4 linked regions of the Anolis sagrei genome follow. The protein of the gene in region 4 purifies or fractionates together with the protein of the main gene of each other region. This does not show direct contact. Links are inferred from orthologs where the notes say so. Each region holds a gene or a part of one and is shown on either strand. Other genes may lie near its edges. The genes, in order: PTPRU, SMARCA4, YAP1 and CTNNB1.

The links.
Region 1: the proteins of CTNNB1 (region 4) and PTPRU purify together in Homo sapiens (affinity purification with western blotting; 3 studies listed by BioGRID). This does not show direct contact. The link is inferred for Anolis sagrei from reciprocal best matches to the Homo sapiens genes CTNNB1 and PTPRU.
Region 2: the proteins of CTNNB1 (region 4) and SMARCA4 purify together in Homo sapiens (affinity purification with western blotting; 3 studies listed by BioGRID and IntAct, with this or other methods). This does not show direct contact. The link is inferred for Anolis sagrei from reciprocal best matches to the Homo sapiens genes CTNNB1 and SMARCA4.
Region 3: the proteins of CTNNB1 (region 4) and YAP1 purify together in Homo sapiens (co-immunoprecipitation; 11 studies listed by BioGRID and IntAct, with this or other methods). This does not show direct contact. The link is inferred for Anolis sagrei from reciprocal best matches to the Homo sapiens genes CTNNB1 and YAP1.

Annotation. Positions count from the first base shown.
Region 1 is NC_090034.1:64,386,787-64,394,264, reverse strand, and holds the start of PTPRU (receptor-type tyrosine-protein phosphatase U), read left to right. Parts: upstream 1-4,472; 5' UTR 4,473-4,802; coding exon 4,803-4,905; intron 4,906-7,478.
Region 2 is NC_090022.1:171,359,603-171,367,188, forward strand, and holds the start of SMARCA4 (transcription activator BRG1), read left to right. Parts: upstream 1-4,579; 5' UTR 4,580-4,821; intron 4,822-4,872; exon of another isoform or gene 4,873-5,032; intron 5,033-7,586. UniProt on the Homo sapiens protein: ATPase involved in transcriptional activation and repression of select genes by chromatin remodeling (alteration of DNA-nucleosome topology).
Region 3 is NC_090023.1:23,007,526-23,015,523, reverse strand, and holds the start of YAP1 (transcriptional coactivator YAP1), read right to left. Parts: upstream 3,005-7,998; 5' UTR 2,324-3,004; coding exon 2,045-2,323; intron 1-2,044. Other genes in the region: CFAP300 (cilia- and flagella-associated protein 300), read right to left, coding at 6,546-6,677. UniProt on the Homo sapiens protein: Transcriptional regulator with dual roles as a coactivator and corepressor. Critical downstream regulatory target in the Hippo signaling pathway, crucial for organ size control and tumor suppression by restricting proliferation and promoting apoptosis.
Region 4 is NC_090026.1:76,601,298-76,608,564, forward strand, and holds the start of CTNNB1 (catenin beta-1), read right to left. Parts: upstream 3,014-7,267; 5' UTR 2,900-3,013; intron 1-2,899. UniProt on the Homo sapiens protein: Key downstream component of the canonical Wnt signaling pathway.

The sequences.
Region 1 (7,478 bases), on a different chromosome or scaffold from region 4:
AATGTCAAGCTATAGTTTCCCCAAACCCCATCTGTGTTTATATTTGGGCATATGGAGTATTCGTGGCAAGTTTGGTCCAGATCCATCATTGTTTGAGTCCACAGTGCTCTCTGGATGTAGGTGAACTACAACTCGCAAACTCAAGGTCAATGTCCACCAAACCCTTCCAGTATTTTCTGTTGGTCATGTGAGTTCTGTGTGCCAAGTTTGGTTCAATTCCATCGTTGATGGAGTTCAGAGTGCTCTTTGATTGTAGGTGAACTATAAATCCCAGCAACTGCAACTCCCGAATGACAAAATCATAATTTGTTGAGTGATGGTCACTCCTTGTGTTGTGAGACGTTTTGTTGCCAAATTTAGTGTGATTCTGTTTATTGGTTCTTTTGTTTTTAAGGTACTCATTATGCACAGACCATTTATATATATAGATAGATAGATGATTGGTTGGGGGGGGGCGCCAAAATACTTTTTGCTTGTTGTTGTTCATTCGTTCAGTCGTCTCCGACTCTTCGTGACCTCATGGACCAGCCCACGCCATAGCTCCCTGTCGGCCGTCACCACCCCCAGCTCCTTCAAGGTCAGTCCAGTCACTTCAAGGATGCCATCCATCCATCTTGCCCTTGGTCAGCCCCTCTTCCTTTTACCTTCCACTTTCCCCAGCATAATTGTCTTCTCTAGGCTTTGCTGTCTCCTCATGATGTGGCCAAAGTACTTCAACTTTGTCTCTAGTATCCTTCCCTCCAGTGAGCAGCCGGGCTTTATTTCCTGGAGGATGGACTGGTTGGATCTTCTCGCAGTCCAAGGCACTCTCAGAACTTTCCTCCAACACCACAGCTCAAAAGCATCGATCTTCCTTCGCTCGGCCTTCCCTAAGGTCCAGCTCTCACATCCGTAGGTTACTACAGGGAAGACCATGGCTTTGACTAGGCGGATCTTTGTTGCCAGTCTGATGTCTCTACTCTTTACTATTTTATCGAGATTGGACATTGCTCTCCTCCCAAGAAGGAAGTGTCTTCTGATTTCCTGGCCACAGTCTGCATCTGCAGTAATCTTTGCACCTAGAAATACAAAGTCTGTCACGGCCTCCACATTTTCTCCCTCTATTTTCCAGTTGTCAATCATTCTTGTTGCCATAATTTTGGTTTTTTGATGTTTAGCTGCAACCCAGCTTTTGCGCTTTCTTCTTTCACCTTGATTAGAAGGCTCCTCGGTTCCTCCTCGCTTTCGGCCATCAGAGTGGTGTCATCTGCATATCTGAGGTTGTTAATGTTTCTTCCAGCAATTTTCACCCCAGCTTTGCATTCATCAAGCCCCACACATCGCATGATGTGTTCTGCATACAAGTTAATAAGGTTGGGTGAGATTATTCAGCCTTGCCGTACGCCTTTCCCAATCTTGAACCAGTCTGTTGTTCCGTGGTCAGTTCTGACTGTTGCTCCTTGGTCCTTGTACAGATTCCTCAGGAGAGAGACAAGGTGGCTTGGTATGCCCATCCCACCAAAAACTTGCCACAATTTATTATGATCCACACAGTCAAAGGCTTTAGAATAGTCAATGAAGCAGAAGTAGATGTTTTTTTGAAACTCCCTGCCTTTCTCCATTATCCAGCAGAAACAACTACCATCCGGTCAGCCTCATGTCGATACTGGGCAAGATTCTGGAAAAGATTGTTAAGAAAGCGGTCTGCAAACACTTAGAAACAAATGCAGTCATCGCTAATAGTCAACATGGATTTATCAAAAACAAGTCATGCCAGACTAATCTGATCTCTTTCTTCGATAGAGCTACAAGCTGGGTAGATGCGGGGAATGCTGTGGATGTAGCGTACCTGGATTTCAGTAAGGCCTTCGACAAGGTCCCCCATGACCTTCTGGCAAGGAAACTAGTCCAATGTGGGCTAGGCAAAACTACGGTGAGGTGGATCTGTAATTGGTTAAGTGGACGAACACAGAGAGTGCTCACTAATGCTTCCTCTTCATCCTGGAAAGAAGTGACGAGCGGAGTGCCGCAGAGTTCTGTCCTGGGCCCGGTCCTGTTCAACATCTTTATTAATGACTTAGATGAAGGGCTAGAAGGCATGATCATCAAGTTTGCAGATGACACCAAATTGGGAGGGATAGCCAATAGTCCAGAGGACAGGAGCAGAATTCAAAACGATCTGGACAGATTAGAGAGATGGGCCAAAACTAACAAAATGAAGTTCAACAGTGACAAATGCAAGATACTCCACTTTGGCAGAAAAAATGAAATGCAAAGATACAGAATGGGGGAGGCCTGGCTTGAGAGCAGTACGTGTGAAAAAGTTCTTGGAGTCCTCGTGGACAACAAGTTAAACATGAGCCAACAATGTGATGTGGCGGCAAAAAAAGCCAATGGGATTTTGGCCTGCATCAATAGGAGCATAGTGTCTAGATCTAAGGAAGTAATGCTACCCCTCTGTTCTGCTTTGGTTAGACCACACCTGGAATATTGTGTCCAATTCTGGGCACCACAGTTCAAGAGAGATATTGACAAGCTGGAATGTGTCCAGAGGAGGGCGACTAAAATGATCAAGGGTCTGGAGAACAAGCCCTATGAGGAGCGGCTCAGGGAACTGGGCATGTTTAGCCTGAAGAAGAGAAGGCTGAGAGGAGATATGATAGCCATGTATAAATATGTGAGAGGAAGCCACAGGGAGGAGGGAGCAAGCTTGTTTTCTGCTTCCTTGGAGACTAGGACGCGGAACAATGGCTTCAAACTACAAGAAAGGAGATTCCATCTGAACATTAGGAAGAACTTCCTGACTGTGAGAGCCGTTCAGCAGTGGAACTCTCTGCCCCAGAGTGTGGTGGAGGCTCCTTCTTTGGAAGCTTTTAAGCAGAGGCTGGATGGCCATTTGTCAGGGGTGATTTGAATGCAATGTTCCTGCTTCTTGGCAGGGGGTTGGACTGGATGACCCAAGATCAGCCCCCTCGCTGATGGTATTCCGAAGAAGATTAAAAACCTGGATGTTCGAGCAAGCATTTGGTTAATTCGGTGCAATGAATGGGATGATTAAGGATTGGTAATATGGATGACGAAACTGGACCACGATTTTAGTTAAGAGATGCATTGAATAGTGATTTATGTGTCAACATTGTGTATTATGTTTTTTATGGTTTTAAATTGTATATTGTGGATTGTGTATTTTGTTGTAAACTGCGTTGAGTCGCCAGCTAGGCTGTACAGTAAATAAATAAATAATAAATAAAATAAAATAAATAAATAAGAGGTCTCTTCCACCTCTTTGATTCTATGATTCTATGATTGGCAATCTGGTCTCTCGTTCCTCTTCCTTTTCTAAACCAGGGCACTCATTATGCACAGACCATTTATATATATATATATAGATGATTGGTTGGGGGGGGGGGGGCGCCAAAATGCTTTTTGCTTTTTGTTGTTCATTCGTTCAGTCATCTCTGACTCTTCGTGACCTCATGGACCAGCCCACTCCAGAGCTCCCTGTCAGCCGTCACCACCCCCAGCTCCTTCAAGGTCAGTTCAGTCACTTCAAGGATGCCATCCATCCATCTTGCCCTTGGTCGGCCCCTCTTCCTTTTGCCTTCCACTTTCCCCAGCATAATTGTCTTCTCTAGGCTTTGCTGTCTCCTCATGATGTGGCCAAAGTACTTCAACTTTGTCTCTAGTATCCTTCCCTCCAGTGAGCAGCCGGGCTTTATTTCCTGGAGGATGGACTGGTTGGATCTTCTCGCAGTCCAAGGCACTCTCAGATCTTTCCTCCAGCACCACAGCTCAAAAGCATCGATCTTCCTTCGCTCAGCCTTCCCTAAGGTCCAGCTCTCACATCCGTAGGTGAGTACAGGGAATACCATGGCTTTGACTAGGCGGATCTTTGTTGCCAGTCTGATGTCTCTACTCTTCACTATTTTATCGAGACTGGACATTGCTCTCCTCCCAAGAAGGAAGCGTCTTCTGATTTCCTGGCCACAGTCTGCATCTGCAGTCATCTTTGCACCTAGAAATACAAAGTCTGTCACAGCCTCCACGGTTTCTCCCTCTATTTTCCAGTTGTCAATCATTCTTGTTGCTATAATCTTGGTTTTTTTGACGTTTAGCTGCAACCCAGCTTTTGCGCTTTCTTCTTTCACCTTGATTAGAAGGCTCCTCAGCTCCTCCTCGCTTTCGGCCATCAGAGTGGTGTCATCTGCATATCTGAGGTTGTTAATGTTTCTTCCAGCAATTTTCACCCCAGCTTTGCATTCATCCAGCCCCGCACATCGCATGATGTGTTCTGCATACAAGTTGAAAAGGTTGGGTGAGAGGATGCAGCCTTGCCGTACGCCTTTCCCAATCTTGAACCGTTGACAATTACCTAGGGCCGCCTCTGATTGTGAGTCCTGGGGCTGTCCTGCTCCTCGCTGGGCCAGCAGGGGGCGCCCGCTCCTTTCCCAGCCCCCTCCCCAAATCCAAATCCAACCCCACGGGCCCCCGCCCCGCCCCCTTCGCTTCGCCTGGGAAGCCTGACGTCACTTCGCCGCGGGGGGTTGGCTGTTTTTTTGGGTTGGTTTGGTGCGTGCCTGCGGAGGAAAGGCTCGGCTCCGGCTTCTCCGCCCGGAAGGAAAGGCACAACTCGGAGTCCGCAATCTCGGAGACCCCGCGCCACACAGGAGATCAAGGCGGATCATTATCAGAGTCCACACTGCCATCCAATCCCTTTCAGTTTGGCCTTGGGGCAACTTTGTGGGAAAGGCCTGCAAGCGGAGAAGATTGCGGAAGGAGAAGTCGGGAAGGAGGAGGAGGAGAACTTTTCTTGGCGGCTCGGCATGCAGGGCAACGCCGCCCGCGCCGTGCTCCTCGCGCTCGCCCTCCAGCTCTGCTCCGCCGAGACCGAGGCGCCCGCGGGAGGAGGAGGAGGAGGAGGAGCAGGTCAGTCCCTTCCCCCCCCTCCCCCTCCCTCTGCCCCTGCCCTTTCGGCGCCCTTTGGGGAAGGGGCCCACCTTCCCTCCCCTTCCCTACCTTCCCCATTCCTCCCGGTCTCTCGGGGCCCCCTCAGTACCTGTTTGGCCACCCACAAGATCTGCTTGGAGCTGGGTTATCTGAGTCCACACTGCCACATTTTATTTATTTATGTATTTACTTTATTTGTATACCGCACTCTCTCAGCCCGTAGGCGACTCAGTGCGGTTTACAACCAGGGCAATATACAAAGGTGCACAACATTAGCATTAGCATTTCAAAACAGTAACTAGAGCAGTGTTTCTCAACCCTTGAGGGGGTCGTGAGGGGGTGTCAAAGGGGTCGCCAAAGAACATCAGAAAACATAGTATTTTCTGTTGGTCATTGGGATTCTGTGGGAAGTTTGACTCAATTCTATTGTTGGTCGAGTTCAGAATGCTCTTTGATTGTAGGTGAACTATAAATCCCAACAACTACAACTCCCATATGTCATAGAATCATAGAATCAAAGAGTTGGAAGAGACCTCATGGGCCATCCAGTCCAACCCCCTGCCAAGAAGCAGGAGTATTGCATTCAAATCACCCCTGACAGATGGCCATCCAGCCTCTGCTTAAAAGCTTCCAAAGAAGGAGCCTCCACCACACTCCGGGGCAGAGAGTTCCACTGCTGAACGGCTCTCACAGTCAGGAAGTTCTTCCTCATGTTCAGATGGAATCTCCTCTCTTGTAGTTTGAAGCCATAGTTCCGCGTCCTAGTCTCCAAGGAAGCAGAAAACAAGCTTGCTCCCTCCTCCCTGTGGCTTCCTCTCACATATTTATACATGGCTATCATATCTCCTCTCAGCCTTCTCTTCTTCAGGCTAAACATGCCCAGTTCACTAAGCCGCTCCTCATAGGGCTTGTTGTCAAGGTCTATTTTTCCCAAACTCCACCAGTGTTCACATTTGGGCATACTGAGTATTCGTGCCAAGTTTGGTCCAGATCCATCATTGCATGAACCCACAGCACTCCTCTGGGCATAGGTGAACTACAACTCCCAAACTCAAGGTCAATGCTCACAAAACCCTTCCAGTGTTTCCTGTTGGTCATGGGAGTTCTGTGTGCCAAGTTCGGTTTAAATCCATTGCTGGTGGCGTTCAGAATGCTCTTTGATTATAGGTGAACTATAAATCCCAGCAACTACAACTCCCAAATGACAAAATCAATCCTCCCCTCAACCCCACTAGCACTCACATTTGGGCATATTGCGTATTTGTGCTCACTTTAGTCCAGTGAATGAAAATGCATCCTGCATATCGGATATTTACATTACAATTTATAACAGTAGAAAAATGACAGGTATCAAGTAGCAACAAAAACAATATTATGGTTGGGGGTCACCACAACATATGGAACGGCATAAAGGGGTCACGGCATCAGCAAGGTTGAGAACCACTGAACTAGAGCAACTAAATCACATAACAATACATCAGTACATCAATATAACAACAATACATCCATATAACTAATCCATCACGTCTCATCAATAAAGTCATAATCCAATCTCCTCGTCCATTATTCCAAGTTCCAATCTCAATCAATTGATTGCACTGCTTAATTAAACGCCTGTTCAAAGAGCCAGGTCTTCACTCTTCTCCTGAACGCCAGCAGGGAGGGGGCCGATCTAATGTCTGCGGGAAGGGCGTTCCACAGCCGAGGGGCCACCATTGAGAAGGCCCTGTCTCTTGTCTCCATCAGTCATGCCTGCGAGGCTGGCGGGATCGAGAGCAGGGCCTCCCCGGACGATCTTAATGTCCTAACTGGTTCATAGGGGGTGATGCGTTCGGACAGATAGGTCGGGCCAGAACCGTTTAGGGCTTTAAAGGCTAAAGCCAGCACTTTGAAATGTGCCCGGTAGCAAATTGGCAGCCAGTGGAGCTGGCGCAACAGAGGAGTGGTGTGCTCCCTGAATGCCGCTCCCGTTAGCAACCTGGCTGCTGCGTGCTGGACCATCTGAAGCTTCCGAGCAGTCTTCAAAGGCAACCCCACGTAGAGAGCGTTGCAGTAGTCTATACGGGATGTAACCAGTGCGTGGACTACCGTGGCCAAGTCAGACTTCCCAAGGTACGGGCGCAGCTGGCGCACAAGTTTTAATTGTGCAAATGCTCCCCTGGTCACCGCTGAAACCTGGGGCTCCAGGCTCAGCGATGAATCCAGGATCACACCCAAGCTGCGAACCTGCGTCTTCAGGGGGAGTGTAACCCCGTCCAACACCGGCTGTAACCCTATAACCTGTTCGGCCTTACGACTGACCAGGAGTACCTCTGTCTTGTCTGGATTCAGTTTCATCTAGTTCAGTGCTTCTCAACCTTCCTAATGCCACGACCCCTTCATTCTCATGTTGTGGTGACCCCCAACCATAAAATTTGTTCCCTTGCTGCTTCATAACTGTCGTTTTGCTGCTGTTATGAATAGTAATGTAAATATCTGATATGCAGGATGTATTTTCATACACTGGACCAAATTCGGCACAAATACCCAATACACCCACATTTGAATACTGG
Region 2 (7,586 bases), on a different chromosome or scaffold from region 4:
CCCCTTCATTTCCCCCCTCAGCTGTAGGTTCTGTGATGTTTTTTTTTCTCCCCTTTTTAATAGTTTGAGTTAATGTTTTCTGATTTTTTTGAAAACAAAATAAAAACTTATTTGCATTGAAAGCTATGCAACACTCGTTCAGTTCTGAAAGAAAAACATGGAGACATGGAGGTCCTTCACACTATGAGCTGCAGATCCAGTGTGGAGTGGTGGTGTGAGCGATGGACGGGTAGACTGCGTGGCTCGTATAACTCAGGGCGTGTTGAGGCCTGGTCTGAGGAGGAGGGGGATCCTTTGGAAGTGGGGCCTTGTGCTCCTGAATTGGAGCCTGATGTGGAGTCTGAATTGGAGCCCCCCATAACTCCGGGACTGCCAGTACAGTGAAAAGATGGATAAAACAAAGGGTTGTTGTAGGTATTTTTCCGGGCTGTATGGCCATGGTCTAGAGGCATTCTCTCCTGACGTTTCGCCTGCATCTATGGCAAGCATCCTCAGAGGTAGTGAGGTTTGTTGGAACTAGGAAAAAGGGTTTATATATCTGTGGAATGACCAGGGTGAGACAAAGGACTCTTTCCTGCTGGAGCTATTATTATTATTATTAACTTTATTTGTACCCCGCTAGCATCTCCCGAAGGACTCGATGCGGCTTATAAAGGACAAGCTCTCAAAACACAACATAACAATACACAACCAAGGTGTGAATGTTTCAACTGACCACCTTGATTAGCATACAATGGGCTGACTGTGCCTGGAGCAAACTTTTGTTGAGAGGTGATTAGATATGCCTGCTTGTTTCCTGATTGTTTACTCTCTGTTGTTGTGCTGTTGTAATTTTAGAGTTTTTAATACTGGTAGGCAGATTTTGTTCATTTTCATGGTTTCTTCCTTTCTGTTGAAATTGTCCACATGCTTGTGTATTTCAATGGCTTCTCTGTGTAGTCTGACATTGTGGTTGTTGGAGTGGTCCAGTATTTCTGTGTTCTCAGATAATATGCTGTGTCCAGGTTGGTTCATCAGGTGGCTGATTTCTCTGGTTGAAGTAGTCTGCAGTGCCTTTCCTGTTCCTTGATTCGTGTTTGGGCAATGCTGCATTTGGTGGTCCCAAATGCAGAGAACAAAATCAACCTCTGTACATGGCATTCATCGACCTTGCAAAGGCATTCGACACAGTGAATCGCAGCGCTCTCTGGACCATCCTCCAAAAAATCGGGTGCCCAAACAAATTTGTGAACATCCTGCGGCTCCTCCATGATGACATGATGGCAACAGTTTTGGACAGCAGTGGCTCCCAAAGTGACCCATTTAAGGTGGAATCGGGTGTCAAACAGGGATGTGTTATTGCCCCAACTCTATTCTCCATCTTCATCACTATGATACTTCACCTTGTTGACGGGAAGCTTCCCATTGGAGTGGAAATCATCTATCGGACAGATGGCAAGCTATTCAACCTCAGCAGACTGAAAGCCAAAACCAAGGTCACAACAACATCTCTTATAGAACTCCAGTATGCTGATGACAACGTCGTCTGTGCGCATTCAGAATAAGATCTACAAGCCACTCTAAACACCTTTGCAGAAGCATACGAGAAGCTCGGCTTGTCATTGAACATTGAAAAAACCAAGGTGCTTTTCCAGCAGGCACCAGCCAACCCCTCTCCAATGCCAGTGATACAGCTTAATGGTGTAACACTAGAAAATGTTGATCATTTCCGCTACCTTGGCAGCCACCTCTCCACCAAAGTCAACATCGACACCGAAATACGTCGCCTGAGCTCTGCAAGCGCAGCATTTTTCCGAATGAAGCAGAGAGTGTTCGAGGACCGGGACATCCGTAGGGATACCAAGGTGATTGTTTATAAAGCTATTGTCCTCCCAACCCTGCTCTATGCCTGTGAGACGTGGACTGTCTACAGACGTCACATGCAACTCCTGGAACGATTCCATCAGCGCTGCCTCCGAAAAATCCTGCAAATCTCTTGGGAAGACAAGCTGACAAATGTCAGCGTGCTGGAAGAAGCAAAGACCACCAGCATTGAAGCGATGGTCCTCCACCATCAGCTCCGCTGGACCGGCCATGTTGTCCGGATGCCTGACCACCGTCTCCCAAAGCAGTTGCTCTACTCCGAACTCAAGAACGGAAAACGGAATGTGGGTGGGCAGGAAAAGAGATTTAAAGATGGGCTCAAAGCCAACCTTAAAATCTCTGGCATAGACACTGAGAACTGGGAAGCCCTGGCCCTTGACCACTCCAGCTGGAGGTCAGCTGTGACCAGCAGTGCTGCAGAATTTGAGGAGGCACGAGTGGAGGGTGAAAAAGAGAAACGTGCCAAGAGGAAGGCGCGTCAAGCCAACCCCGGCCGAGACCGCCTTCTACCTGGAAACCAATGAAGAAGAAGAAGATGCAGAGCAAGAATAGGGCTCCACAGCCACATACGGACCCACAAGAATATTGGAAGACAATCATCCTCGGAAAGCGAGGGATCGCCTAAGTGAAAGTGAAGTAAGGTCCCTATGTAGACTTGTACACAGCTGCATGGTACCCGGTAGACTCCTGCAGAAGTGAGAGGATCCCTCTTGTCCTTTGCTGAACGTAGCATTTGTTGGATTTTCTTGGTGGGTTTGTAGATACTTTGTATGTTGTGTTTCCTCATCAGCTTCCCTATGCGGTCAGTGGTTCCCTTGATGTATATTTGTATGATCCCTCTTGTCCTTTGCTGAACGTAGCATTTTTTGGATTTTCTTGGTGGATCATACACAGAGGCGGCCCTAGGTACTTTTCAATGGTAAGCAAACAGTATCCCCCCCCCCCAACCAATCACTGATATATATTTTCTGTTCATCGTGGGACTTCTGTGTGCCATAATTGGTTCAATTCCATCATTGGTGGAGTTCAGAATGCTCTTTGATTGTAGGTGAACTATACATCCCAGTAACTACAACTCGCATATGTCAAGGTCTGTTTTTCCCCAAGAGTGCTTCAAGAGTGCCCCTGGGCAAAATCAACTATACTGCAAATGCTTACTTTGCGTAATGGGTTGAGACGCCCCTGATCATACACATTAAAATACAGTCAAGGTAACTTTGGTGGGCCTCGTCCTTGAGTGGCTGCATCTTTTCCTCAGTTTTGTGCCTTCCTGTGTGATATTTCTGTTATATGATATATGATATGTCATTTCCTTGTTGTTGTTCATTCGTTCAGTCGCTTCCGACTCTTCGTGACCTCATGGACCAGCCCATGCCAGAGCTCCCTGTCGGCCGTCACCACCCCCAGCTCCTTCAAGGTCAAGCCAGTCACTTCAAGGATGCCATCCTTCCATCTTGCCCTTGGTCGGCCCCTCTTCCTTTTTCCTTCCATTTCCCCCAGAATCATTGTCTTCTCTAAGTCATTTCCCTGAGGGAAAAATAAACCTCTCAAAAATGTGCACATCGCCTCAGAGAGGCCCCTAAAATGTTCCTTTCCTGAGCAGTCTGGTTTCACGGAAAGGATTCCCATTTCTGCACGTTTTGAGATGGGCCTAATTCTTATTTTGCCAAGAAATAAAAACATGGGTTGTTGTAGGTTTTTCGGGCTGTTTAAACAAAACATGAACACAGAGAGGTGTCAATGTCTTGTCAAAGGCTTTCATGGCTGGAATCACTGGGTTGTTGTAGGTTTTTTCGGGCTATATGGCCATGTTCTAGAGGCATTCTCTCCTGACATTTCGCCTGCATCTATGGCAAGCATCCTCAGAGGTAGTGAGGTCTGTTGGAACTAGGAAAAAGGGTTTATATATCTCCAGAAAGACCAGGGTGGGACGAAGTACAAGAGTCAACCCTTCTTTTTAAACAGAGGCTGGATGGCCATCTGTCGGGGGTTATTTGAATGCGATGTTCCTGCTTCTTGGCAGGGGGTTGGACTGGATGGCCCATGAGGTCTCTTCCAACTCTTTGATTCTATGATTCTTCCTAATGTCTTTTAAAGGGATTTACTTTGGTGTCACCATTGTCCTTTAATCTAATTTCAGAACACTTTTTGAAACATTTTCTTTCTAGGAAAATGGGTTTATATATCTGTGGAATGACTGTGGTGGGGCAAAGAGCTCTTCTCTGCTGGAGCTGGGTGTGAATGTTTCAATAGAGAGGTAAAATCCTCCCTTCAGAGCTCGTTGCCTGCCTCGCAAATCCCCCTTCCCCCAATATTCTCCTCAGCCGCAGTGGTGGCCGCAATGCGCATGCGCACCGACGCCGCGGCCGGCTGGTTGGGGGGATGGGCACAGCCCTCGCGCTGCCAAAGCGCGCTCCTTTGCCTCGCGAGGCGCGCCCCCGTACGACTGGGAAGCCCGCCCCTTTCTCTACGTCATTGGCTGAGGCAGAGACAAAAGAGGAGGAGAGACATATTTGCATTCAAAGAAGCATAACAGGCCGCGTCACTTATGGGCAGAGAAATAGCAAAGGCCGGTGTAGAAATGTAAAGCGTGTCGCTATTGGCTGTTAAGAGAAAGCCTCATTCTCTAGACTTCCCGCCCATCTTTTCTGATTGGCTGGCGCTCGGAGTCTGAGTCTAAGCGAAGGAGGCGGGCGTAACACCCTGAGTGAGGGTTGTGAAATCCGCTCTGATTGGTGCGTCGAGAGGGAGCCTCGTTGAGCCGGTTAAGGAACGCGCAAAAGAAAGAAAGGAAGAAAGAAAGCCTGTGGGGAGCGCGCCCACGCGAGCCCAGCAGGAGGCGCGCAGGCGAAGGGCGGGGGAGGAGGAGGAGGAGAGAGCATCTCTTTGAGAGACGCAGGCAGTCACCTTCTTCTTTGTTCGCCGTCCCCGCCCGCGCTGGAACTCCTGGGCCGCCCGGTAAGCGAAAGGGCGCCGCGGGAGGGGATGGGGAGGGTGGATTGCGCATGCGCGGGGATGGCTCGCTGAATGAATGAGTGCAAGCCCGTGTGGACGGACCTGGGAGAGGGCATCGCGGGTGGGAGCATCCCACCTGAAGAGGAGGAGGAGGAGGGGGCGGGGAGAATTGGAAGGAAGCAGAGCATCCTTAGCCGGAATCTCACCTTGGATGGTAAGAGGGTGAACGTGTGAATGCCTGTACCCGTGTCTTCCTATTCCCATCCTCCCCCTCCTCTTTTCTCCCCTTTTTATTGCTCTTATTTCAGCCTCTGAAATATATAATCAACTCATCCATCATCAACATCATTATTATTATAATATTGTGAATGTGAACATTGACATATTTTGACAACACTATGATTAAAAATATAATAATAACTAGCCGTCCCCTGCCACGCGTTGCTGTGGCCCACATCAGGGTTCTGTGGCCCAATTCTATCGTTGGTGGGGTTCAGAATGCTCTGCGATTGTAGGTGAACTATAAATCCCAGCAACTACAACTCCCAAATGTCAAGATTCTATTTTCCCCAAACTCCACCAGTGTTCCCATTTGGGCATATTGAGTATCTGTGCCAAGTTTGGTCCAGATCCATTATTGCTTGAGTGCTCTCTGGATGTAGGTGAACTACAAAGCCAAAACTGAAGGTCAATGGCCATCAAACTCTTCCAGCGTTTTCTGTTGGTCATGGGAGAACTGTGTGCCAAGTTTGGTTCAATTCCATTGTTGGTGGGGTTCAGAATGCTCTGCGATTGTAGGTGAACTATAAATCCCAGCAACTACAACTCCCGAATGTCAAGATTCTATTTTCCCCAAACTCCACCAGTGTTCACATTTGGGCATATTGAGTATCTGTGCCAAGTTTGGTCCAGATCCATCATTGCTTGAGTGCTCTCTGGATGTAGGTGAACTACAAAGCCAAAACTGAAGGTCAATGGCCATCAAACTCTTCCAGCGTTTTCTGTTGGTCATGGGAGAACTGTGTGCCAAGTTTGGTTCAATTCCATTGTTGGTGGGGTTCAGAATGCTCTGCGATTGTAGGTGAACTATAAATCCCAGCAACTACAACTCCCAAATGTCAAGATTCTATTTTCCCCAAACTCCACCAGTGTTCACATTTGGGTATATGGAGTATTCGTGTAGAGTTTGGTCCAGATCCATCATTGCTTGAGTGCTCTCTGGATGTAGGTGAACTACAAAGCCAAAACTGAAGGTCAATGGCCGTCAAATTCTTCCAGTATTTTCTGTTGGTCATGGGAGAACTGTGTGCCAAGTTTGGTTCAATTCCATCATCGATGGTGTTCAGAATGCCCTTTGATTGTAGGTGAACTACAAATCCCAGCAACTACAACTCCCAAATGACAAAATAAATTTTTTTGAGTGGAGAACATACATTGGGTTGTTAGGTGTATTGTGTCCAAATTTGGTGCCAATTGCCCCAGTGGTTTTTGTGTTCTGTGGATACCACAAACGAACATTACATTTTTATTTATATAGATTTGAGCCTCTGAAATATATACTCATCCATCATCAACATCATTATTATTTGGATTTTTAAAAAAGAAAATATAATATTCCGAATGTGAACATTGACATATTTTGACAACACTATGATTAAAAATATAATAATAACTAGCCATCCCCTGCCATGCGTTGCTGTGGCCCACATCAGGGTTCTGTGGCCCAATTCTATTGTTGGTGGAGTTCAGAATGCTCTTTGATTGTAGGTGAACTATAAATCCCAGCATCTACAGCTCCCAAATGTCAAGATTCTATTTTCCCCAAACTCCACCAGTGTTCACATTTGGGCATACTGAGTATTCATTTATTATTTATTTAAAACATTTATATTCTGCCCTTCTCGCCCCGAAGGGGACTCAGAGCGGAGCACAACATATACATGGCAAACATTCAATGCCTGGGTACAATACATAAACATTAAAAACATTTATCTAAATATTAAAATACACCATTTAAAATAACACAATTTAAAACCGTCCTAACCATCCGCATCAAATCCAATTGGCCCTGTCATCTTCATGTAGAGTTTGGTCCAGTTCCATCATTGTTTGAGTCCACAGTGACCTCTGGATGTAGGTGAACTACAACTCCAAAACCAAAGGACGCTGCCCACCAAACCTTTCCAGTATTTTCTGTTGGTCATGGGAGAACTGTGTGCCAAGTTTGGTTCAATTCCATCGTTGGTGGGGTTCAGAATGCTCTGTGATTGTAGGTGAACTATAAATCCCAGCAACTACAACTCCCAAATGTCAAGATTCTATTTTCCCCTACCTCCACCAGTGTTCACATTTGGGCATATTGAGTATTCATGTAGAGTTTGGTCCAGATTGAATTGAATACTTTATTTGTATACCGCTCTTCTCAGCCCTTAGGCGACTCAGAGCGCTTAACAACAGTTTCAGTATACACAATACAAAATCATTGGGCATTTAAAAGCAATAGCATCAGAAATCATTAAACATCAGCACCAATACATCAGTACATCAATACAACAAATATAACAAATCCATCAGGTCTCATCAATGAAATCAGAATCCAAACTCGTTATCCATTATTCCGTGTTCCGATAATCAATCACTCATCCAGATCCATCATTGTTTGAATCCACAGTGATCACTGGATGTAGTGAACTACAACTCCAAAACCAAAGGACACTGCTTTCCAAACCCTTCCAGTATTTTCTGTTAGTCATGGAAGAACAGTGTGC
Region 3 (7,998 bases), on a different chromosome or scaffold from region 4:
CTTTCTCCCACAAGGCTTCTCTTATGCTAGGCCTCCCTTGGAAGGCCCAAGTTTGCCCATACCTAATAAAGACCTTGTAGTGTTACACACAACAGCCTTCGCAGTGGGACTTTCTCACACAGGGCTTCTCATACCAGGCCTTCCTCATAGTGAAACCTCTCTCACACAGAGGCATTTTTACTCTTCCCAGAAAAGGAGGGCGCCTGAGGCTGTTAGGAATAGTAGGAGTTGAAGCCCAAAACACCTGGAGGGAGGGCCCAAGTTGGCCCATACCGGCTAAAAACCTTGTATCTTTACACACAGCAGCCTTCACACTGGAGGTTTCTCACACAAGGCTTCTCCCACACCAGGCCTTCCTCATAGTGAAACTTCTCTCACACTGAGGCATTTTTTCTCTTTGCAGAAAAGGAAGAGGCCTGAGGCTGTTAGGAATGGTGAGAGTTGGAAGTCCAAAACACCTGGAGGAAGGGCCCAAGTTTGCCCATACCTGCTAAAGACCTTGTAGCTTTACACACAGCAGCATTCACACAAGCTTCTCTCATACCAGGCCTTCCTCATAGTGAAACTTCTCTCACACTGAGGCATTTTTCTCTTTGCAGAAATGGAAGAGGCCTGAGGCTGTTAGGAATGGTGAGAGTTGGAAGTCCAAAACACCTGGAGGAAAGGCCCAAGTTTGTCCATATCTGCTAAAGACCTTGCAGCTTTACACAAAAGAGCCCTCATACTGGAACTTTCTCCCACAAGGCTTCTCTCATACCAGGCCTTCTCATACCAGGCCTTCCTTGGAAGGGCCCAAGTTTGCCCATACCTGCTAAAGACCTTGTAGCTTTACACACAACAGCCTTCACAGTGGGGCTTTCTCACACAGGGCTTCTCTCACACCAGGCCTACCTCATAGTGAAACTTCTCTCACACAGAGGCATTTTTACTCTTTTCAGAAAAGGAAGGGGCCTGAGGCTGTTAGGAATGGTGAGAGTTGGAAGTCCAAAACACCTGGAGGGAGGGCCCAATTTGTCCATACCTGCTAAAAACCTTGTAGCTTTACACACAGCAGCCTTCACACTGGAGGTTTCTCACACAAGACTTCTCTCACACTAGGCCTTCCTCATAGTAAAACTTCTCTCACACTGAGGCATTTTTACTCTTCCCAGAAAAGGAGGGCACCTGAGGCTGTTAGGAATAGTAGGAGTTGAAGCCCAAAACACCTGGAGGGAGGGCCCAAGTTTGTCCATATCTGCTAAAGACTTTGCAGTTTTACACAAAACAGCCCTTACACTGGAGCTTTCTCCCACAAGGCTTCTCTTTTAATAGGCTTTCTCATACCAGGCCTTCCTCAGGAGGGCCCAAGTTTGCCCATACCTGCTAAAGACCTTCTAGTGTTACACATAACAGCCTTCACAGTGGGGCTTTCTCACACAAGGCTTCTCTCACACCAGACCATCCTCACAGTGAAACTTCTCTCACACTGAGGCATTTTTACTCTTCCCAGAAAAGGAGGGCGCCTGAGGCTGTAGGAGTCGAAGCTCAAAACACCTGGCCCAAGTTTGCCTATACCTGCTAAGGACCTTGTAGCTTTACACACAGCAGCCTTCACACTGGAGGTTTCTCACACAGGGCTTCTCTCACACCAGGCCATCCTCATAGTGAAACTTTGAGGCTGTTAGGAATAGTAGGAGTTGAAGCCCAAAACACCTGGAGGGAGGGCCCAAGTTGGCCCATACCTGCTAAAGACCTTGTAGCGTTACACACAACAGCCTTCACAGTGGAGCTTTCTCACACAGGGCTTCTCTCACACCAGGCCTTCCTCATAGTGAAACTTCTCTCACACAGAGGCATTTTTACTCTTCCCAGAAAAGGAAGGGGCCTGAGGCTGTTAGGAATAGTAGGAGTTGAAGCCCAAAGCACCTGGAGGGAGGGCCCAAGTTGGCCCATGCCTGTTCTACATGTAGATGCACCCCAGGAGGTTAGAGTAGGGATTGCCAAACTCCAGCTCAGCAGGTACTTGCAATGCCCAGTGTCCAGGGCGCCCCTTCCTCCCGCTCACCTGTCTGGAGTGGGCCTTGGGCTCTGGCGGCTTGAAGAAGGAGTCCGGCAGCTTCCGGAGCCTCATGGGCAGCGTGTGGGGCACGTTGGCGCCCTTGGGGTTCATGACGGCGTTGAAGAGGGCCTCCAGGTCGGTCTCCGAGTCTCCCCGGACGTGGACGATCTGGTGTCCGGCCGGAGGCGGCGGCGGGGGCGGAGGCGGCTGTTGCTGCTGCCCGGAGCCGCCGCTCTCCGGGGCCGAGGCTTGCGGAGGGGTCTGCCCCGCTGCGGAGGCCTCCATGGCGGGCGACGGGGCTCCTCCTCCTCCTCTCCCCCTCCTCGGCTGCTTCTCTCAAGCCTCCGCTCCCGGCTGGCCGTCTTTCATCCCCCGAAACCTTCGCTTGCTTCTTTTTTCTCCTTCAGCCGAGCTCAAAACAAAACTTCGCAAACTAGCCCGCCCGCGCCGAACTCCGCCTCTAATGCGACTCAATGTAGCCCGGCCGCAGAAACTGAAGATTTTTTTTCTCCCTCTTCTCGCGCCCGGCCGCGCGGAAATCCTTTCAGAGCAATTTTTCCTCCAAGCCGCCTGTCAATCAATCGCAATCACTGCAATCTTCCTTTCCTCCTTCACTAATCCGTCCCAACTCCGATATAAGTTGGTTACTTCTCAATTATCTCTTTGACTGACTCCTAAAGAAAAGTTCGCAAAGGCGCCCGCCCGAGTCAATTCTGTAGGAATCAGTTCTTGATTCTTTTTTTTCCTTCCTTCGCACGCAAAATTTTTTCAACTCTCCCGACAATTTTCTCCTCTAATCCGTCCCAGCTTTGAGGAAAAAAAAGAAAATAGATGTATAGATCTATCTATAATGCCTCGACGTCCCTGTTTGTCGTTGATCAGGAGCTCAAACGCTGCCAAACAAAAGTTCCCAAAGTCGCCCGCCCGAGCCAGCTCCGCCCCGCGAGGGCCCGCCCGCGCCGAATTTCGACGGGGCTTAATGCAGCCCAGCCAGAGTTAAAGGAGGCTCTGTTTCAATTCTCCTTTCACGCGCCCGCCCACTCTGATTTTTTTAAAAGCAATTTTGCACTGATTTAAAGACTTCAATGTGTTGGGATTCCCTCACGTTTACTTTCGTGGCTCTTTTTTTCCTCTTTTCCAGCTGAGACAATTGTTGTGTTTTTATTTTTAGTCGTTTTTCAAGCAAACCCGCCCGAGTCGTTTTCTTGGCCTCCACTAGTGTCCAGGAACCGTGTATTTTATACTTCTACCCACCCTCCTCATCCTGTCTCCCCCTCCAAAAAAAAAAAAGTTTTCCAACCCTCCCACGGAGACGAAAAGGAGGGGAAAGTGGGAGTATTTCGCCTCCCACACACACACACACACACCATTAAAAAGAGGAGAAAGGGAGGGGGAAAGGAAACAAGACCCCAACCCACCAGGCTTCAAAGCCCCCATGGAAGAGGAGGAGGGAAGGGAAGGGGAGGGAAAGGACACCTCTGCAATCATTGCCAGGACTTTGTGTTCTGTGGTTGCTTTGCAGCAAGGCTTCTCTAGCAAGCTTGGTGGAGAATCAACCCTTGCTTACCCTACCTCTTTATTCCCCCCAAAATAAATCACAGCCTGCAATCTTAACTATTGTCTGCTCAAAAGTAAACCTTAATAAACTCAATGTCAAACTCTGGCATAGACACTGAGAACTGGAAAGCCCTGGGCCTTGAGCGCTCCAGCTGGAGGTCAGCTGTGACCACCAGTGTTGTAGAATTTGAAGAAGCAGGAATGGAGAGCAAAAGAAAGAAACATGCCAAGAGGAAGGTGCATGAAGCCAACCCCGACCGGGACCGCCTTCCACCTGGAAACCGATGCCCTCACTGCGGGAGAACATGCAGATCAATAATAGGGCTCCACAGTCACCTACGTACCAACTGCCAGTAAACCAACCTTACTCCGACAACGAGGGATTATTATTATTATTATTAAACTTTATTTGTTCCCCGCTAGCATCTCCCGAAGGACTCATTGCGGCTTACAAAGGCCAAGGCCTCAACACAACAACAGCAAACAATAACAATACGATGCAAAGCAAATTAAAAACATAAGCAATAAGAAAACATTACACTATTACGCAATAAAAACCAGGGCTGGGCCAGTGATGGGTACAGGTTAAAAAGTGCTGGCTGTGAGAGGTAGTATGTTGGGATTCTGGGCAAGTGCAATGTGCAGAGAGTCTTAAACTCTAATAAAGTGCTTCTGGGACATAGTGGGGGTTATCCTATTCCGGAAAAGCACATCTGAATAGCCAGGTCTTCAAGTTTTTCCTAAAGACTGCCAACGTGGGTGCTAGTCTAATGTCTTTGGGGAGGGTGTTCCAGAGTTGGGGGGCAACCACAGAGAAGGCCCTGTCCCTCGTCCCCACCAAACGTGCCTGCGACGCAGGTGGGATCGCGAGCAGGGCCCCTCCGGATGAACGAAGGGAGCGCGTGGGTTCATAAACGGAGATGCGGTCACGCAGGTAGGCAGGTCCCAAACCGTTTAGGGCTTTGTAGGTAAGCACCTGCACCTTGAATTAGATCACCTAAGTAAGCAGCTAAGATGAAGGTGGCATGCTTTCAGGGTGAAGAATTGTCACAACCTGACACCACTTTGAACTGCCATGGCACAATGCAATGGAATCCAAGGATTTGCAGTCTGGTGAGGCACCAGCAGCTTCTCGCACAGAAAGCTAAAGACCAGGCCTGGGAAAACTTGGGCCCTCCCTCCAGGTGTTTTGGACTTTAACTCCCACCATTCCCAGCAGCCATTCTCTCACGCCAGAAGCGACTTGCAGTTTCTCAAGTCGCGCCTGACACGAGAAAAAAAGCAGCCTCAAGCCCTTTATTTATTTACGATATTTCTATCCCGCCTTTCTTGAACTTGAAGGTGACCCAAGATGGCTTTACAACATAGGCAGCTATTAGATGCCGTTAAAACAATGTAAAAATTACAATATTTTTTTTGATTTATAAAATGCATACATTAAAACCTTTAAAAACATATAAAACCTCGTCGTCCAAAAACATTGTCTAAGCTGTTTCAGTATTTGATTTCACATACTTCCGTGTTTATTTATTGTACTAGATTCCCAAAGGCTTGTTCAAATAGCCATGTTTTCACTGGTCTGTGGAAAGTCAGGAGGAAAGGGGTTCATTTAATATCCCTAGAGAGGGAGTTCCACAGTTGAGGGGCCACCACTGAGAAGGCCCTGTCTCTCGGCCCCGCCAGTTGCATCTGCAAAGAAGGCAGGATCAAGAGCAGGGCCTCCCCAGATGATCTTAAACTCCTAGATGGTTCATAGGGAGAGATAAATTCGGACATGTAAGTTGGGCCAGAACCATTTAGGGTTTTATAGTCTAAAGCCAGCACTTTGGATTGTGCTCGGTAGCAAACTGGCAGCAAGTGTCAGGTAGGCCTCAGAGTTAGTAGGCCTCAGTGTGTGAGAGGCCTGGTGTGAGGACAGCCTGGTGAGAGAAGCCCCAGGTTTATTTATTTATTTACTTACAACATTTCTATCCTGCCTTTCTCACCCTGGAGGGGACTCAAGTCGGCTTTACAAAAAGGCAACAATTTGATGCCTTAAAACACAATGTACAGTTAAATAAATATTAAAATATAATTTTAAAGTACATTAAAACAATTAAAACATTTAAAAACAATCAGGTTGAAGACTTTGTGTAAGAAGCTCCAGTGTGAAGGCTACTGTGTGTAAAAAGGCAACTGTGTAAAAAAGGCAACTCTGTACATAGGGAAAGGGAAGGGACCTGAGGCTGTTAGGAATGGTGGGAGTTGAAGTCCAAAACACCTGGAAGGAGGGCCCAAGTTTGCCCATGCCTCCCCATGACCTTGTAAAAATGATAACTCCCATCATTCCATACCATGGAGCCATGGGAGTTGAAGTAGTACCAAACTGCATCACTTCTACAGTGTAAAACAAACAAAATGTTTTACAAAATGTTGGGGTTCACTTTCTCTTTTTTTAAAAATTCCCTCATTAATTATAAAATTATTGCTGCTTTAGGACCACATAAGCAATCTGAACTGAGAACTGTTTCTTGACCCATCAATCATCAACAACAGACTCATCAATCAAATTCCAAACCAATAGTTATATGTTTTCATAGTTTAAAATTGCTATTTCATACTCAAAATGTATGTACACAACATTTAAAAAGTTTTTATTTATGGTTAAGAAAACACAAATGTAAATGTTATTATGATAGTTTCAAATAAGAGTCTTTGTAGGCAGGATATAATTCAGCAACAGCAAAACTTTTCAAATAGTACATTGCACAAGTATTGATATGGGTATTAAGTCTGTAACATTAATAATACAAAATATGTGTTTGAAACCATACTGAGTACCTTAGATTTCTGGGAAGGGGAAAACGTGTGTAGATAACATAGATCTCTTTGAAAAGAACAGAATCCTGACAAATCTATATCTAAGGAGAATTCATCTATTCATCAAATAAACTTGAGGAATCAAACCCAGTCAATTACAGAACAAAGCTCCGCCGTAAGAATGATACAAAACATAAATGTGCCGTTTCAAAGGATTCACGATCAAATAGGCAAAATTCTGCTCATGTCTGTTCGATGATGGATAACAAAGGCCATGAGCATCCTGGAAGAAAAAGTATATAGCATTAATATAATGTAATAATGGATAGTACTCATTTGTGAAAGAGTTCTAGAGCCTGGTTTAAATTGAGTTAAGCACTCTTGTCCTGCTTTTGAACCCCATTTTTGGACAAAAGGTAGGATATAATCTGCCCTGAGTCCCCTTGGGGAGATAGAGCGGAAAACAAATTATTATTATTATTATTATTATTATTATTATTATTATTATTATAAATAAAATGCTTGATTTTTATGTGTAACACTAAACCACTCCCTCTTGATGTGACCCAAATATGAGGAGATGACTGAAATAAGCTGCTTGTTTTCCTAATTAATTGTGATTTTTGTTTATGTCCAAAGCAAGGCAAACTGTGGTTATTGTTAAATATACAGGTTATGTATCTCTTATTTGAAAGAATTAGAAGCATTTCATTTCGGATTTCTTTTGGATTTTGAAATGCCTATATTTGTATATATGTACATTATGTGGTATCTTGATGTTGGAATTCAAATCCAAACAAGAAACCAATGTATGCTTTATATACATCTCATTATACACGTAGTCTGAAGCTAACCTTTTTAATAATTTTGTGCATGAAATATTTTTAATAATTTTGTGCATGAAACAAACCTGGTGTACATTAAACCTTGAGGAAACCAAAGGTGACACTATCTCTGTCATACAAAGGATGGTTTTGGAGTATTTAGAATTTCTGGATAAACTCTTAGAACCAAAGAACTAAAACACAACTAGAAATTAGTCCAGTGGTTCTCAACCTGTGGGTCCCCAGATGTTTTGGCCTTCAACTCCCAGAAATCCTAACAGTTGGTAAACTGGCTGGGATTTCTGAAAGTTGTAGAACAAAACACCTCGGGACCCACAGATTGAGAACCACTGATCTAATCCAACCCGGTCATGTACCATCTTCAGTGTCAGGCACCTGGTTCAGCATCTGCTTAAGTATCTCCAAGTCAAGAAAAGTCTGCAAGCTAGCATGGTGTAGTGTTAAGCATTGGTGCTGAATTGAGAGACCAGGATTTGAATCTACACTTGACCATGGAAACCCACTTGGTGACCCTGGGCAAGTCATGCTAGCTTCAGAGGAAAGCAAAGGCATGTCCCCTCTGAACAAATCCTGCCAAAAAAACTAAATGACAGAGTCATCATGCACTGGAAAGCTTGAAGACATACAACAACAACAACAACAACGGAAAGGCCTCTACCTCCCAAGGCAGGCTGTTTCACTATTACATTGCTCATATAATTAGGACATTTATCTTCAGGTTTAGCTGTAGTTTCCACTTATTGTTCCAAGTATTTCCTG
Region 4 (7,267 bases):
ATAATGTGTCATGTTATTTTTCCGTGGTAGTACTGCTAATTTGAAGTACTCAGTGATGATTATTTCACTGAAGATTATGGATTAAACAACTATTCATTTTTGTTGTTGATATAATCTGTGGATTTATGAAGGAGATCTATATATCTATACAGGAAGGAGTCAACTATCAAGTTAGATAAATTTATCTTATAAACATGCTGTATTATGAGGGGAGCATTTCTAGGTACAGTGAAAGACAGGCATAAAATACTTTAGCAAACGTGTTACATAGTTTTCTGCTGAGAACTGCACTATTTTAGCAGCTTCCAAAATTGCTACTTAAACTGCAGGAACAAGGCAACGCCCTCAAGTTAGGTTAGGCATTCAGGTCAGGAATGCAAACATTTCCAACTTTGATTGGGCATAGTGGAATATTTAAAATTATGCTTGAAGTTTTATTGAAATACCTAGGCTTGTACTGTTACTCCAAGATATCAGGAAATACCATTAGAAAACACTTATTGATAAATCACAACTTCATCTAGATTTGTTTTTACATTCCCATTGACACACATGTCTTGAGCTCTTTTTAAAGGCAGTACTAAATTATTACAGCTTCTTTATACACCTGAAAGACAGAAAGCACAATTCTGTGGATTTAATGTATTTAGGTAACAGCTTTTCATAAGTCATAGCAGTACTCTCAGGACCCTTCCACACAAGCCCTTTATCCCAGAATCTGATCCAAGGGGCCTTCCACACAGCCATATAACCCAGAATATAAAAGAATAACCCACAATATTTGCTTTGAACTGGGTTATCTGAGTCCACACTGCCACATATTCTAGTTCAAAGAAGGTATTCTGGGTTACATGGCTGTACGGAAGGGCCCCAAGATTATCCCAGGTTATCTGGCAGTAGGGGCTCATATATTCCATGTTTCAAGCAGATAATGTGGAATCAGATCCTGGGATGAATGGCAGTGTGGAAGGGCTCTCAAAGTAATATGCAGATACACCCCTCCCTCTAAATATGGGGGAGGGGATAAATCAACTTTCATAGCTAATGCAATTTCAAATTAAATGGCAGGACCAACAGTCCCAAAATATCTTCCAGGTGAGATGTCTAAACAAGCCTTGGGATACTTTCCCCTGCTGGAGACAACAAATGAAATAGTACATTTCCCTGGAATGGGAATGGCTTCCCAAGTGCCCTTCCACACAGCAATATAACCCAGAATATCATCCTAGAATATCTGCTTTGAACTAGATTGTCCGAGTCTACAATGCCACATATTCCAGTTCAAAACAAAATAAATGTGGGATTGTATTCAGCTGCGTGGAAGGCATCCCACACTCTCCCCCTCTGGCTGTTAGAAATTGTGGGAATTTAAGTCCAAAACACCTGGAGGGACAAAGTTTGCCCATGCCTGATCTACACTTTCAAACTGAGCTACAAAACACCGTGATCTTAGTCGGATCCTGTACGGAAGCCTGCCCTACATCTACTATCTACACTTTCAAACTGAGCTACAAAAGGTTCTTGTGGGTTTTTTTGGGGCTATATGGCCATGTTCTAGAGGCATTTTCTCCTGACGTTTCACATGCATACGTCAGGAGAAAATGCCTCTAGAACATGGCCATATAGCCCCAAAAAACCCACAAGAACCTAGTGATTCCAGCCATGAAAGCCTTCGACAATACATTGAGCTACAAAACATTGTGTGCTTAGTCGTATCCTGTACGGAAGCCATCGAAGCCTGCCCTACATCTACACTTTTTAAGTGAGCTACAAAACACGGTGTGTTTAGTCGGATCCTGTACGGAAGCCATCGAAGCCTGCCGTACATCTACCATCTACACTTTTAAACTGAGCTACAAAACATAGTGTGCTTAATCGGATCCTGCACAGAAGCCATCGAAACCTGCCCTACATCTACACTTTTAAACTGAGCTACAAAACATGGTGTGCTTAGTCGGATCCTGCACAGAAGCCGTGCAAGCCTGCATAGTACACTTTCAGGGCTCCAGCAACCAAGAGCGCCCCTCCCGCAAAGTATGCAACCTGAACCAAAGCCAAAAGAAGAGGAACTTCATTGCACACAATGCAAACAAACCCGAGACGATTTCCCATCCCCTCCCCCCGCCCCTCGCTGGAGGTTTGGAGGCGACACCCCGCCAGGAAGTCGGGACGGAAGGGCTCCCAAATCCCATGTCGTGCAAGGCGCCCGCTCGCGAGGCATTGCGGTTTGAGGAGATCTTTTGCAGGGATCCCCACCTCCAGGATCCGCGTGAGGAAGGAGAGAGTTGGGGCGGATCGCTGCCTGGAAACCTCCCTTCGCCTCAACACCGTAGAAAGTACAACACGCAGGCCGAGAAAGCCTCCCCACCGCAGGACAACAAACAAGGCACGGAGCGGCCCTTGTGCAAGGCGATCCCACTGCGAGAACTTGCATCGCGGGCACACAAGGGGCGAGAGGAGGGGGTAGCTCCGTCCCACCCACTCACTCACTCACCCACCCCCCAAAATGGGAGCAAACACGCCGGGACCTCCCCCTCTCGGACCCAACTCTCCCCCTTTCCTGCCTCAACCGCTCCCTCCCTCCTTCTCTCCCTCCCCAAGTTCTGCCCCACTCACTTTGCCATTTCTCCCCGCCTCACACTTATCTCCCCCTCCCTCCAAAACACACCAAAATCCACTCACTTCCTGTAGGGAACACACCGCTGCCTTATTATTGCTCCCTCCGCCAACCTCAAGGAGGAAAAGTAGTGCGACCAAGCCCAAGTTTCTCTGAGGAATGAGGGGAAGCGCGAAGGGGGAGAGAGGAAGCCCCCGAAAGGAAAGAAGCTGCAGCAAACCGCGAACCCTTTATCCCTCGCGTCAGGCGACGGAAACCCCCTTTCTTTCCCCCGCTTCTCACCTCGCCCGGAACGGTCCTTTTCCCCCCGTCGCCGTCGCTCCCACCGAACCAAGAGAGAGAGAGGCTTAAAATGGCGCCGCTCACCAGGAGCCTCTTATAGTGAGGGTGTAGACTTCTCTGTGTATCCTGCCGCCGACGAGCCCCGAGCGCGCGCGCGCAGCATTCCACAAGGTAGAGAAAATAGTCCCCGCTCCGCCCAATCAGCGGCCTGCTTCGTGCTCGCGCACACATACACACACAGAGGCGCGCGCGCCCTCTCTCTCTCTCTCTCTCTAGGAAGCAACTAAACGCGGAGGGAGATAAAGTGAGGGGAAAAGAAGAGCTTCAGTGTGTATCGAGAAGGAAAGGGATTGTGGGAGCGCGCGGGAGGGTGCAGGGATTCGCCTCCGAGTGTAATGAGGCGCGGAGGGGGCTACTTTTGGGAACTGAGAGAGAGAGAGACACCTTTTTCTACGCGAGGAATGAGGCGGCTTCCCGCAACCTGAGGGGAGAGAGGCGCGAGCGCGGGCTGCAGAGCCTGGCTTCTCTCTCTCTCTTTCCCCCCTCCTCCTTTTTTAAAGCTACAGGCACCCCTTTGCATCCTAGTATGGTTTTTATACCAGAAGACTTGTATTTCTTTTATTATTATTTATTTACAGTATTTGTATACCGCTTTTCTCACCCCGAGGGGGACTCAAAGCGGTTTACACATAAGTAATGGCAAAATTCAATGCCACTACAAACAATTAAAATTATACACTACAATTGAAGGAGCTGGGGGTGGTGACGGCCGACAGGGAGCTCTGGCGTGGGCTGGTCCATGAGGTCACGAAGAGTCAGAAACGACTGAACGAATGAACAACAAACAATTAGACATAAATCAAGTTAAAAACAGTGCATCCACAAGTAATAAAACAATCGTTAAAACAATAAAACAGTTTCGTCAGTCAAATCGCCATTCCAGTCATTGTCTTTCTGAAATGCTGCATACATTTCCTTCTACTGCCCAAAGGCCTGGTCCCAATACCATGATTTTAATTTTTTTCTAAAAGCCAGGAGGGAGGGAGCAGATCTTACCTCATTTGGGAGTGTGTTCCATAGGCAGGAAGCCACAGCTGAGAAGGCCCTGTCTCTCGTCCTCGCCAGACGCCTCTGTGCTGTTGACAGGAGCGAGAGCAGGGCCTCCTATGCGGTGGGATGTAGGGGTGGATGCGTTCGGACAAATAAGCTGGGCCAGAACCGTATAGAGCAGTGGTTCTCAACCTGGGGTCCCCAGATGTTTTTGGCCTACAACTCCCAGAAATCCTAACAGCTGGTAAACTAACTGGGATTTCTGGGAGTTGTAGGCCAAAAACATCTGGGGACCCCAGGTTGAGAACCACTGGTATAGAGCTTTATAGGTCAAAACCAGCACTTGTAGTCCCCAATCATGTCGTTTCAGGGAAACCCAGCAAATACTTGGGATGTTATGTCTCCCTCAGGATCCGCGAAGAGGAAACAAAAACGAAGGAATTCAAAAGTTTGTCTTACCTCCTGACTTTTCCAAGCCTTTTTAGTGTTGCTTGTGTGACTGTGGAGTGGAACAGACAACTCCACATCTGTATGTTTGTCCACTGTGCCCTGTCTCATGTACAGAGGAGGAATTGTTGGAGGCTATAGACAATGCCATTGCTGTTGCCCGTTTTGAATCAAAAGATATTTAGCCGCCTGTGAGCCTTCTATTTTTATCAGTTTTATACTAATTCATGCAATGCTTTTGCTACAAAATAAAATAAAAATGTTGCTAGATATGAATATTGTTTGCCACTCCTTTCAAACTCCAGAAGACTTCCATCCTCATGCCTCTCTCAAGGATCATCCAGTTTGAATTGGGAAAGCACAACTGGCCATCACCCAGCCTCTGTTTCGAAGCCTCCAAAGAAGGCGCTTCTTCCCTATCCTTTCAACAAGGCAAGTTGCTGTGTTTACATTAGTGCGTTCTCTTCATAGAAGGCCTTGAAAGGAGCAGAAGGGCTTCAAAAGTCAAAATAAACAGAAAAAGGTGTGGGAAACTTCCTAACAAAAGTCCCCCACATGTTTCCAAACTTCACTCCAGGCTGGAACGGGAAAGTCAACAAGAGAAGTGGATGGGAAGTGTTTCCACATGAGAGAGCCTGCCATTTTGAGGCCTGGAAGGAAAAGATGAAGGGAAGTATATCTACAACAGACATGGGTAAACTTGGGCCCTCCAAGTGTTTTGGATTTCAGCTCCCACCATTCCTAACAGCCTCAGGCCCCTTCCTTTCCCCCCTCAGCCGCTTAAGGGCCCAAGTTTGCCCTTGCCTGATCAACTGTAGGATTAATGCATCTTGGCCGATAAGTTGCTGAGCCAAATTCATCTAAAGCCCTAAACAATTCGGGCCCCACCTATCTCCCTCTATGAACCGACATCTCCCTCTATGAACTGGCACAGACACTAAGATCCACCAGGAAGGCCCTCCTCTCGCTCCCACCACTGTCTCAAGCCTGGCTGGTGCTGACAAGAGAGAGGGCCTTCTTGGTAGTGGCCCCCCAACGCACTCCCCAAGGAGATAAGGCTGGCCCCATCCCTCACCTCCTTCCGTAACATCTTGAAGACCTGGTGGTTTCATCAGGCCTTCGATAAGAACTAGTTTCAAGCCCTTGGTCCAACAGTTAGGAGTTGGCCTTGTACTCCATTCATTCCCCAGTTCCAGGTCATCTGAGGGCACCTTTTCTTCTGGCCTAGACCTTTTTTTATAGTCCTTTAATTGACCCTAGAATTGAGTGGCCCCTAGTAGGGTAATTGCTGAGACTGATCCTTGTACTATAGTATTCTGCTACAATAGAGGAGCTTTTTTGTTGAGTTCCAGGGCCAAAGAACTGCCTGTCTCAGGGGAGCGTGTTTGCTCTATCAATGTTCAACATTTACACAAATGACCAGCCATTGCTAGAAGGGACAGAGTTTCATCTATGCTGATGATCATGCCATTACTGCTCAAGCAGGGAGCTTTGAGATGGTTGAACAGAAGCTCTCCAAAGCTCTAGGAGGGGGCTGAGGATCTACCCTAGCAAACCTTTTGTATCATTATCCCAATATCCCCATGCATATGGGATATATTGAGCATGGTGATCAGGTCAGATTAATGGAACATCTCAGCAAGAGAGAGTCCAAAAGTGGCAGGCTCAAACCGCATATCGCATTATCACGGGGTGTCTGTGCCCTAAACCACTGGAGAAATTACACTTTAGTCAGTATTGCACCACCTGACATCTGCTGGGGTGTAGTAACCAATAGTGAAAGGACCAAGGCAGTGACATCTCCAGCCCACCCCGTTTGGGTATCAGCTAGCACGTCAATGCTTTAAATCAAGAAATAGTTTTCTGAGATCTACAGAGACACTCGCTGGGACATCTCAGCAAGCGAGAGTCCAAAAGTGGCAGGCTAAAACCCAGAACCTCAATCAATGGCTGATACCGGATGAGAGACTCCCTCCTGGGCACACAGAAAACTGGGTGATTTGGAAGGTGCTCTGGCACCACGAAATGCAGAGCCAACCTTAAGAAATGGGGCTACAAAGTGGAATCCACGACATGCGAGTGTGGAGAAGAGCAAACCACAGACCACTTACTACAATGCAACCTGAGCCCTGCCACATGCACAATGGAGGACCTTCTTGCAGCAACACCAGAGGCACTCCAAGTGGCCAGATACTGGTCAAAGGACATTTAATAGAATACCAAATCTGCAAACTTTGTGGTTTGTTTGTTTTTAATGCAATACAACTGTTTTGGTTCGCTCTTGACACGATTAAAAAATGCATTGGCTCAATCCCAGAGTCAATTTGGCGCTTTGTTTACAGCCTTAGCCCCGCCCCCTTGTAAGTGGGCGGGGCTAAGGGCAGGGAGGCCACGTGAGGGACGCTCGGACCCGCGCGCCGCCCTTTCATCCTGGTCTTTGGTGGGGGATTCAGAGAGAGAAAGAGCTCTCTGATGCCTTAAGATAGCTCTCGCTTGATTGATCCCTAATGCCATTAATCCTATGCAAACTGCTGGAGGGGAGGAGTAGGAAGCTTACTTGGAGGGGATACAACCCAAAAGAGGAGGGGGGGGGGGAGTCAGAGTTTCCTTCTGCAGCCCAGATGCAATCCACATCCTGACGCAGGAGCCAGACCCTCTCTCTCTCTATAGCAATCTCATCGGGACTCACGTCTAAATCAGGCTACACAGAAAACGGTTTGTGTTGTGCAACTTAGATTTGTAGTTGTCTGGCGTGGGCGGGTCCCTTAAGTCTTTTGTGGGCGCTGAATGTATCATCTAATTCTAACCCATTTTATTCTCTGTCCCAAGGCAGCAAAAATGCAAGATACTCCACTTTGGCAGAAAAAATGA